Schizosaccharomyces pombe: one gene and its partner. The gene in region 1 interacts genetically with each later gene. Each region holds a gene or a part of one and is shown in the gene's direction. Other genes may lie near its edges.

The links.
Region 2: of alp11 (region 1) and alp1, extra expression of one rescues a mutant of the other (dosage rescue), as found in Schizosaccharomyces pombe (2 studies listed by BioGRID).

What each region holds. Positions count from the first base shown.
Region 1 is NC_003424.3:2,251,406-2,255,013, forward strand, and holds alp11 (tubulin-specific chaperone cofactor B), read left to right. Parts: upstream 1-1,977; 5' UTR 1,978-2,062; coding exon 2,063-2,767; 3' UTR 2,768-3,035; downstream 3,036-3,608. Other genes in the region: ubiquitin ligase Btb3, read right to left, coding at 95-1,365, 1,416-1,507, 1,576-1,784; ribonuclease H2 complex subunit Rnh201, read left to right, coding at 3,183-3,608. UniProt on the Schizosaccharomyces pombe protein: Required for microtubule function and cell polarity. Involved in the proper folding of alpha-tubulin.
Region 2 is NC_003423.3:3,352,546-3,359,207, reverse strand, and holds alp1 (tubulin-specific chaperone cofactor D Alp1), read left to right. Parts: upstream 1-2,160; 5' UTR 2,161-2,482; coding exon 2,483-2,629; intron 2,630-2,673; coding exon 2,674-3,762; intron 3,763-3,806; coding exon 3,807-4,793; exon of another isoform or gene 4,794-4,832; coding exon 4,833-5,215; intron 5,216-5,263; coding exon 5,264-5,393; intron 5,394-5,439; coding exon 5,440-5,657; exon of another isoform or gene 5,658-5,699; coding exon 5,700-6,063; 3' UTR 6,064-6,162; downstream 6,163-6,662. Other genes in the region: knh1 (KRE9-like protein), read right to left, coding at 575-1,429; protein Ndc80, read right to left, coding at 6,394-6,662. UniProt on the Schizosaccharomyces pombe protein: Has a function in the folding of beta-tubulin. Microtubule-associated protein that is essential to direct polarized cell growth and to position the nucleus and septum to the center of the cell during mitosis.

The sequences.
Region 1 (3,608 bases):
TGAGATAAAGCCTTTTCTATGAATTTGAATTTTAATAATGATTAATTTAAACAGTTGAAGTGTTCAAGAAATATTATTTTTTCTACCATTGCCATTAAGCTTGTAGCTCCAGTTTATCTAGTAAATCGTCAATCATCTCCATTTTTTGATTATATTCGCTTTCATAAGGTGTTAATGTATCTACAACTCCATCAATGCACAAATCCTCATGGTAAATGCCAAAACGTTTTGAGAGGAAATAACGAATATCATCAATGAGTTCGATCGTGTCTGTTTCTTGTCTCTGTAAAATTCGATCAGCACTTTCTTTGACTAATTCACAGAATTCAGGATCGTCAATCAAGTGCTCCAAATGATTTGCCATATATTCGGAAGCGTATTGCTCCAGGCGAGGCGTAGACGTATCCCAAGCTGTTCGTAGAATATCGTAAATACTATCTATAGGCTCTTCTTGTTTAGTAATAACTATAGAAGCTAAAGATTTCAAGCTTCTATCTTTATCTAACGACAACATGTCTGCAACGTAAACTACATCTAAAGCTAATTCCGGCGCTATATCAGTTTTGTCGGTATATAAAAACTTCAATACAATTTCAACAACAGAACTTGAAAAAGGTAAAGACAAAACCGGTAGTTCTTGATTGCTTTCCAAAAATGGTCCTGCTAACATGTCCAAAAAATATTCACATCTGCACATGATGGCACGATGGACGGGATAGCGGTGTGTATAAGATTGCAAGTAAGCATCGTGAAACGAATACTGATCGGAAGGTTGGTTAAGAGATTCAATGGGTACTTTGTAGTTAGAGATTATATAATCCAAAAATTCTCCTAGATCATTTTGAGTTTTTGCCAACTGGATTTTCTTCCAATCTCTAGAGTGTAACTGCTCGCGATCTTTTTCATACAATGCGATAAAATCGTTTAACTGGAATTTTTTTCCAATACTCAGAAGAGCATTGTTATACTGTTTGGTGAAAACAGCATTTGTGTCTAAGTAGAGATATCGCAAAATTGATTCAAACTCTTTAGCAAAATGTTTGACTTCAATTTCATGTTCACTGGGTCCCAATTTCGAAAATTTTGATTTAAAATATGAACTTCTGGCAGCTAAATAGAATTTATGAGCAAAAACCCTACCATATTGACCGGCAAAGACTATGTCAGTAGTAAAATGTAAAGCCGAGTTCGACAACAAGGAAGTTATGTGACTAGCATAAGGTTGGGACTCATCAATGGCTTTAGTAATATCATAAGAAAGAAGCATACGGCGAATATTATCATTAAGGGCACCATACAAACATCTTTCTCCTTGAAAAGTATCTCGTTCGCATAAAGCACCATTTTCAAGAAGAAATTTTACAACTTAAGCGTGAGAAAATATAATAATTGAGAGCAAAACATTCATAGCATACCTGGTTCATGCCCGCAAAGACTCGCAAGGACTAAAGGCGAGTAGTCAAATTGGTCTACTTGATTAATAGGTGTGTTATAGTTTTCGACCAAACTGGATTTTGAATTTAGCAATTGCAGTTAAAATTGTTTATCGATTCAATATTTTTAAATTGCACATACCTCTTGACAACTTCCAAATCTCCACGCCGACAAGCTTCACAAAGCTCAAGAAATTCTTGGGTATCATTTACTGTGAAAAGTGAGGAAGACAGCTTCTTCTCATCCATTGCCTTTGACCAAAGGTCATACTTGGAGAAAAGCTTTTTAGAATTTTCACCACCTTGCAATTCGACATGTGTTGTCCCTGTATTTTGATCTTGAGAAGCCATTTTAATAAATGAAGAACAATTAACAACCGATTAAAAGGTTATACTGAGCAAAGATTGCACTTATGTTCAACAGTATTATCGACTTAAAATTTAATTGATCATATGCGAAATGTAGTTGGTTAACGAGGGTTCTATGTAATTGTTCAAGTTCGATGTGATTTGTGAACGACTGACCAAGGCGGCGTCAGCATTTAACTACTACGTCTTCCACCACTTTATATATTCTTGTGTTTTCCGTTTTCATTAATCATATATCTTAAGTTAAAATTATTTGCTACATGAATGAGATAACTCTCTTTATTAAATCTTCCTCTGCAAATGCTGAACGAAGGATTAACCCACAATGGACTGTTAGTCAGCTTAAGACCAAATTAGTTCCTATCGTAGGGACACCAGAACAATACCAAAAACTTACGTATGAACCTGCTTCCAGTACAGTCCCTGGACACGTTTTCACTAGCGAAGAAGAGAATTTAGACCTAGGGGAATTCAAGCTTCAGCCTCTGGGGACTATAGTCGTTGAGGATACACGCCCTCCTCATTTGCGTCTAGACTTTGACGATCTTTCACAGGTTGATAAATATGTAATGCCTCGTGAACAGTATGAGAACAGGACAGATTCTGTCTATGCCTGGAAAAAAAGAAATCAGCTTGGACGATTCAATCCAGACTTTGAAGCAAGTAAAGCTTCTCGACAAGAATCTTTAAAACGTGAATTAGTCGACTTACAAAAAAATTTAAATTCTAGGTGCTGTGCAGCAGGAGAGAGATATGGAACTATTCGCTATATTGGACTAGTGCCTGAAATTAATAATGACAATCTGTGGGTTGGCGTCGAATTTGATGAACCAGTTGGGAAAAATGATGGGACAGTCAGCGGAAAGAGATACTTTAATGCGAAAAATAAACATGGATCCTTTCTTCGATCTTCTGAAGTTGAAGTAGGAGACTTCCCTCCAGAAGATATTTTAGAAGGTCTTTGATGTTGTTATTCGTTTTACAAGGTTCCATGTTAATGATTTCCTTTTTTTTTGTTAAATCTTGTATGCAGGCTTCGATTGCTAGGAGATGACTCGCTTAAGATAATGAACAATTTTCTAAAAAAATGAAAGTCTAAAAAGTAAATCATTTAGTTTAGTCATTTCTCAATTAAAATATTTTTACTCAATCAAAGAAAGCATTATAACTGTAATGAATTGTTTGTCTGGCTTTTCTTTTTTTTTTATTTACATCGTTTTACCGTAGTACCGCTAATTAAAACCACGAACGAAAGAAAACTGTGTTAGGCCTATTTGCGCATTCCTTCAACCCCTTTATTTATTTTTTTATTCAGTTTTTGAGCCAAATATTAGAAGTACTCTGATAATTCTTTAAAAGATACAAAGCAGCAATCTCAACATGAAAGATGATCACGATGCATGGGAACCAGAAGAACTAGTCAGTGACAATAACTCTTCAGAAAATGAGCTACAAGAAGACCAAAATTCTTCAATAACTTTTTTACCACCTTCAGTTAATAAATCGAATCCCGCAAAATCGAATTACTATCATTCAACAGTCACTGATGATATTTCCAAGAGTCAGCCATATCGATTAGGAGTAGATGAAGCTGGTAGAGGCCCTGTCTTAGGACCTATGGTATATGCTGTCGCTTACTGTCCAGTCGATTTCGATTTGACCAACTATGGGTTTGCTGACAGTAAAACTTTGGCCTCCTTAAAGCGAGAGGAACTTCTGAAATTAATTTGCAACAAATCTAACGAGCTAGGAAAAAACGTTGGATGGTCTACTATGTCTATTTCCGCAAGAGAATTAGCTGCAGGA
Region 2 (6,662 bases), on another chromosome or scaffold:
TTTTATTTAATGTTATGATTTAATTGAACATTACTTGTAATGCTTTTGCAATATTAACTTAGTGAATTTAGTAATTGATTCCGACTATTTGGGCGTTCTGGCATAGCACTGTCATCACACAATTTATTTATTTGTCGCGATTACTTAATTAAACAATGCGTTCAAACAAGTATAATTTACAAAATAAATTCTAAATAAAACCATAATTATTTATTAAATGTAGAAAATGATAACTAAAGAAAAGGGTTTAACCGAGAGTTCTTTTTGCCTAAATATGTAAAAGAACGAATGAAAAGGGAGAAAGGAAAGTAAAAATTGAACGAATGAAGAAATAACTCATGCACTTGAAGATGCTTTTACGTGAAATTAACTCCACAGAAACAGCATAATGGTAAATATGAAAAAAAACATGACTTTAGATAACAAATAACCAAAATATTTTGTTTTCTTTGACGAACGACTCAATGTATTTGAGCTAAAGGAAGCAGACAAAAATGCACACAGTAATATCCTAGTGTGCTAATGAAAAATCTAAATGACATGAAAGGCTTTGGCCTTAAAAAAAATTAACAATTTAGGAATATAACAACCCACGTTTGTGTTCACCTAAACGCATCCCACGTTTCGGAGCAGCTTGAGCCCAGCTGTCTCGTCTCCTTAAACCAGCAGTTGGAGTTGCGATTATAGTAGGCTTAGAGGCCGTACTAGCATAATTAGCATACAACGTATACATGTACGTTGGAGATGCAAAGACAGTCGAGGTGGCAATGGGAGGACCTGCAAACGTGGTAAATACGGAATAAGAGGAAGTTTCCCATAGCGGTTGTATGTCGGTCGTAGCAGCAGTAAAAGTAGAATCTGGTCGATTTTGAATAGGTCCTGTACGGAGAACACCGGTAGTTTGAGATAGATACCAATCTCGCATTGTACCTGTAGGCCATACACCAAGAAAAGTGCTAAAACCAGTAAGGGTAGGAACATAAGGATACACACCAAGAGCCATCAAAGACGCATAAATTTCGTAATTATCAAAAGTTCCTGTTAGACCATTAACAGTGAAAAAGTCAGTATAGTCATTAACTATACCACCAGCATATGTAGATTGTGCCCAAAGAAAGTAAAGACGTCCAGCTGGTCCAAAAACCTGAGAAATAGCGAAGGGTCCAGCTTGGGATATAGAAGAAGGACTAGGGGACGTATACAAGACTGCACAAGGTTGAGGAGCATCCATGCTACCACTACATATATAAAAAACTGTGTTGGTTATGTCCTCAAGAGGTATTCCCGTATTAGATTCTTCCCATGAAAACGAAATAGCGGTAAAATCCATACTATCTGTTGTCGCCGGAGTGACGAATCGAATTTGCGCACATACATAATGTATGTATGAGCAGACTAGCAATACTAGCATCAACATGGTGGTTTTCATTAAATTCGACGGCTTGAAGAGACTTTGCAAATTTAGTGGTAAGCGATATATATAAATCGTTGCTCTGACAACAGGGATGTATATCGAAACACCTTATTTGACATGTGTAAACAAATAATCGAGAAAAGTTGGTTTATTGTAAGCTAATAAAAGTGATTTTTTTATTTTTTTTTATTTTTTATTTCATGCAATAAATTTCGGCTTAACTCAAAAATATATATCACGAACAAGCTGGATATAGTTAACACTGAATATGTTTTAACCTGAAACCTCTAATTCAAATTCTCTTCAGTTTAGCAAGTACTTACAATTGCTCTGTAAATTTATGCCGACTAGTTTAAAGGCCAACATCTTGGGAAAATTATTGTAACGTTTGAGAATCTTTAAGTAAAGATCTATTTAAACGATACTGCTATACATTTGTAATATCAAATGCTAGTCTTGTACCAAAAGAATGAATAACATGCGAACTTACTGAATCTATGTCGTGAATATTATGTCTACTCTATGAAATAATTGCGTTAGAGCTGTCAATATATAGGCCCTTTACTACCAGATATGCTTACTGTCTGGCTGTATTCCTAATTCATTCGCAGAAATAATATATCATTTACAAATATCACAGTGGTTGCTCCAAAAGCATTCTTAATAACTGCTCACGTTTAGATTTGAGATTTGAAATATCAGTAGTGGGTACAGATTACACCACCACAATAATTTACCTTTTTATTATCCCACTTTTCATAATGTTTTTCAATATCAAAGCTTGTGAAATTTAATCGTTAATAAATCTTACAGGTCTAAAATTATTCAAACTTGTTTTATTTTCTTATTGGTATCATTTGCAACCTCATGAGTGACAAAGGAGGAAATTGTCCAAGGCAATACAGAAAATTAGGGACCAAGTTTTTTTTTTAGGACGAAAGAAATTCTAAAAGAAAGGAGATTAACATATTTTTTCGCTTTATTCGTTTTTCATAATTTATTCAACACGCGTTAATTGCTTAAAGTCGTTACAGTCAAAAATAATCATAGCATAAATTTTAAACAAAAATGGAAGAAGAAGAATCTTTAGAAGGAATTATTTCTATAGATGAGTCTTTGATAACCTCACGTTTATCGCAAATTCTCGATGATGTTTTAGACGATAGAAGTTCTTCACATTCTGTGGAAAAACTTAAAGACGTCGCTGTTAAATATGTATGTTTAAAAAGATATTGTGACCTTTCTAATTAAAATTCTAGTTGCAATTTTGTCAATTTCAGCCGACATTGCTCGATAAACTACTGAGTAAATACGTTCCAAACTTGGCTAGCTATTTACTGAAAGTGAAAAATATCGGAAAATGTAACTCAATTACCGTTATCCTTTACCAGTTTTGTAAAATAAGAGGATATAAAGCTGTTCGCGTCCTCTTTCCTGTTGGCGTTCAATATATTAAGGAATTATATACATTATTAAATGAATCATCAAATAATACCTGGCATTTTCACTACATAGTTTTACTGTGGCTTTCTCAAGCACTCAATACCCCATTCCCGTTAAATTCATTAGATGATTCCTTGGATGTGAAGAAGACCATTTACACTATAGCAATTAAATACTTAGAAAATTCGGGAATAGACAAAGAAGCTTCTTGTCTTGTTTTGTCCCGATTATTCTCTCGTGATGACGGTTTGGATTTACTTCTAGGCTTTCTACACCACTGTGAGAGTAGTTGGTTTAAGAGAAGTATCTTTTACAAAATTGGGTGTCTTTTTTCCTTATCTTCTTTTCTTAAAATTTGTCCGAGAAATGATTGTCTTCAAACAGTTGATGTTGCGTTTCAGTTTCTGAATGTAGCACGAGAAGATTTAGTTGGACAAGAAAATTCAGCGTTGAGGAAATTATTATGCAAATGTTATACAAGATTGGGAATTGTATTGCTGCCTGTAAATTCATCCCCTAATTGGAAATACTCGATCAGTAACCCAGATAGTTTCTTTCAATTACCTGATGACTCTAACGAAGAAGTACATATATATCTGGAGGTTATTGTTGATTTTTTATTGTCATCTGTAAGCGACATAGACAGTTTTGTACGCTGGTCTGCAGCCAAAGGGCTAGCCAAGATCATAAGTCGTTTGCCCTGGAATTTGGCTGAGCAAGTTATCGATGCCATTATTGAATTGATGACAGAAAATATGTTTTTAAACCCCATAGAAAACACTGTAAACATATCAATTACTTCTCCACTGGTTTGGCACGGAGCTATACTTTTCTTCGCAAAACTAGCAGGTGCAGGTTTAATTAAGTATAGTAAATGTTTACATATTCTTCCATTGATCGAAGTAGTAAGTACACTTTGTTTTCTTATATCATTCTAATCCTTATTTAGGGCTTATCATACGAAGTAAGATATGGAACTAGAGTAACAGGACAAAGCATCAGAGATGCCTCCTGTTATTTTGTTTGGTCATTTTATCATTGCTACTCTAAGTCAGCAATTGAAGGCTTACAAACGAATCTTATTTTATGTCTCTTACAAACGGTATTGTTTGACAATGAAATAAATGTGCGCAGAGCTGCAACTGCTGCTTTATTTGAGGTGATTGGCAGACACGCTTCTATTCCCGATGGGCTTTCTTTGATATCACATATTAACTATGTTTCTGTAACGGATATTTCAAATTGTTATGGTGACTTGTGTATGAAAGTAGCTCATTTTCCTCAGTTTCGTTCCTGTGTTTTCCAAAGACTATTTACAAACCTTCAGCACTGGGACGTGAAGGTACAGCAGCTTTCTGCTTTTTCCCTAAGACAACTTTCTATTAAATATCCCAAAGAGCTAAGCATCTATCTTCCTCCCATACTTGATTATTTGTCTGTTGGTAATGCAGATTTTATTTTTGGCTATACGATTGGATTGGCAAGTATTATAGGTGGATTTTTATCCATAAGCTTCCCGTTCGATATAAATCGTATCCATGATTTACTGTCGCACAAAAACCTACTGTCCTTAAAAAAATTTTCAAGGCAACAGCAAACAAAAATTATTTTGGGAATTTTAAAAGGAATTCAACAAATTTTTGCCAATGATATTCGTGTTGACAGAGCATTTTTCAGTGAAGCATTTTCTGTTATAATCGCTGCTATTGATTTACAGGAGGAAACAATCATAAAAGACATCAGTGACGCTTACAGTGTACTTGTTAAATTTGATGATATGGAAGAAACATTGGAGGTTCTTCTTGACTATATACGAAAATGCTCAACAAGTAAAGAAGCGAGAATTGTATACATTATTCTACAGAATTTACCGAATATAAGTTTTCGATACCAGAAAAAGATATGCAAGCTTTTATTGGATATTTATCCCCAACTCGTAAGTAAAGAATTTTTTCACCAATGTTAACATGAACAGCACTCAATAGACTATCAAGCACCTGTTGCGAATGCGCTTCAAAATATTATTCCCTTTACTTATGAAAAAACAGAAAGCATTGAAGAATTTGTCAAAGAATTACTTCAGGTTTGCTCCAATTATTTGACAGATACCCGAGGAGATGTTGGCTCATGGATTCGCAAACCTGCAATGAAGGCCATTTCCAGTCTATTAGTCAAAGATTCATCTGGAAAAAAATTAAGTGAAGATATAGTTTGGTGTTGTATTTCCTATATTATAAGGCAAACATTTGATAAAATTGATAGTTTGAGGGGTTTGGCATATCAAGCACTCGAACAAATCAGAGTACATTACCTAATCAGAAGATGCGAAGCTTTGACTAATATTATTAATCGTATTAGGTAAAATGAGTTTTCAATTAAAATTCTGCTATTAACCACTAGTTTCAGGAATAATCCAAATATGGATGGAGAGGTACTAAATGAACTGAATATATCTCTGCTAGAAATACCTAATTTAAGGCTTCAAGCTTTTTACGGAATTACAGTATTTACTGCCGATGGTTTTGGCAGTGACTTAGTAAGTTATCATATGCTTCGATGTCTTAATATACTAACTCTACTAGGCAGTTAAATGTTTTGAATTTTATCTAAGTTATGTTTACCAGTTAGAAGATTCGTTTAAAAAATCTAACTCTCGTTATGGTAAACGGGATCTTCTACAACTCTATATAGACATACTTTCTTCGGAGGATGAAATAGCTCGTTTCTATTTTCCAATCATGAAATCTTTCACATCTTTGTTAGCATATGGTTGTTTCACGGACTTTCAAAACGTTAAGGGGTATGTTTTTTTACATTTTGTTCAAAATACTAATGATATCAGCATGTCAAAAGCGATTTTTATTGTACAGAGAAGGGCTCTTACTTGTAAATCACCAGGGGGACTTTCTGCGATACTAGAGTTATATCGGACGCTTTTTCTTTCCAAAAATGAACTTTTGAGGCATCATGCTTTAAAATATACGGCAAACCTACTATTAAACCCGATTGAAAAAGTACGCTACCAAGCAGCCGACACTTTGCTCTATGCGAAGTCAATTGGTTTGCTAACTTTCCTCCCTAATGAATTAAACCAAAAACTACTGACTTTGGATTGGTTCGTACCAGTATCTCAAAACGCAACTTTTGTTAAACAGCTAAGGAATATAATACAGAAACAAATAGATAAACTGATAGCTGATCGATAATAAATTTTGAACTACTTTCAGCTTTTTAAATAGTCGTGTATATGATGTATAAAAACGTTAAAATCTGCAATCAATAAAATATCTGGTGAATAATCTCAAATTTTTAGCCAAAACAGTTCGTGCTTATGTAGTACTAAATTGATGTCCATAAAAGGAACACAACCAATAAAAATTACATTTGAAAATTGAGAGTTGAATTATTATTACCTTCATTAGAATTGTAATTAAAAAGTAAGAGATTAAAGCATAAAACACAAAAACACCATCGTGATAAAAAAATGTATTCATGAGCCGTGAATATAGTAGACAGCACAATACGATGAATAGAATTTACAGTTCCGAACGAGATAGGTCATCCAATTCCTTTTGGTAGTCCATCTTCAAATCCTCCAAACTGTCTTGAACGTGTAGCTTGAAATGTATTATTTCACCAAGCACAAATGCAACCTCTTTATATATATTGTTTTTGTACTCCATGCAAGCATGTGCAATTTGATCCGCTTCGATATTTATACTTTGTATACGCTGGTCTAATTGAAGCATGCTGTTATGCGAAGAAAGTTTGAGCTGTTGTAATTCTCTTTCTAACTTATCCGATT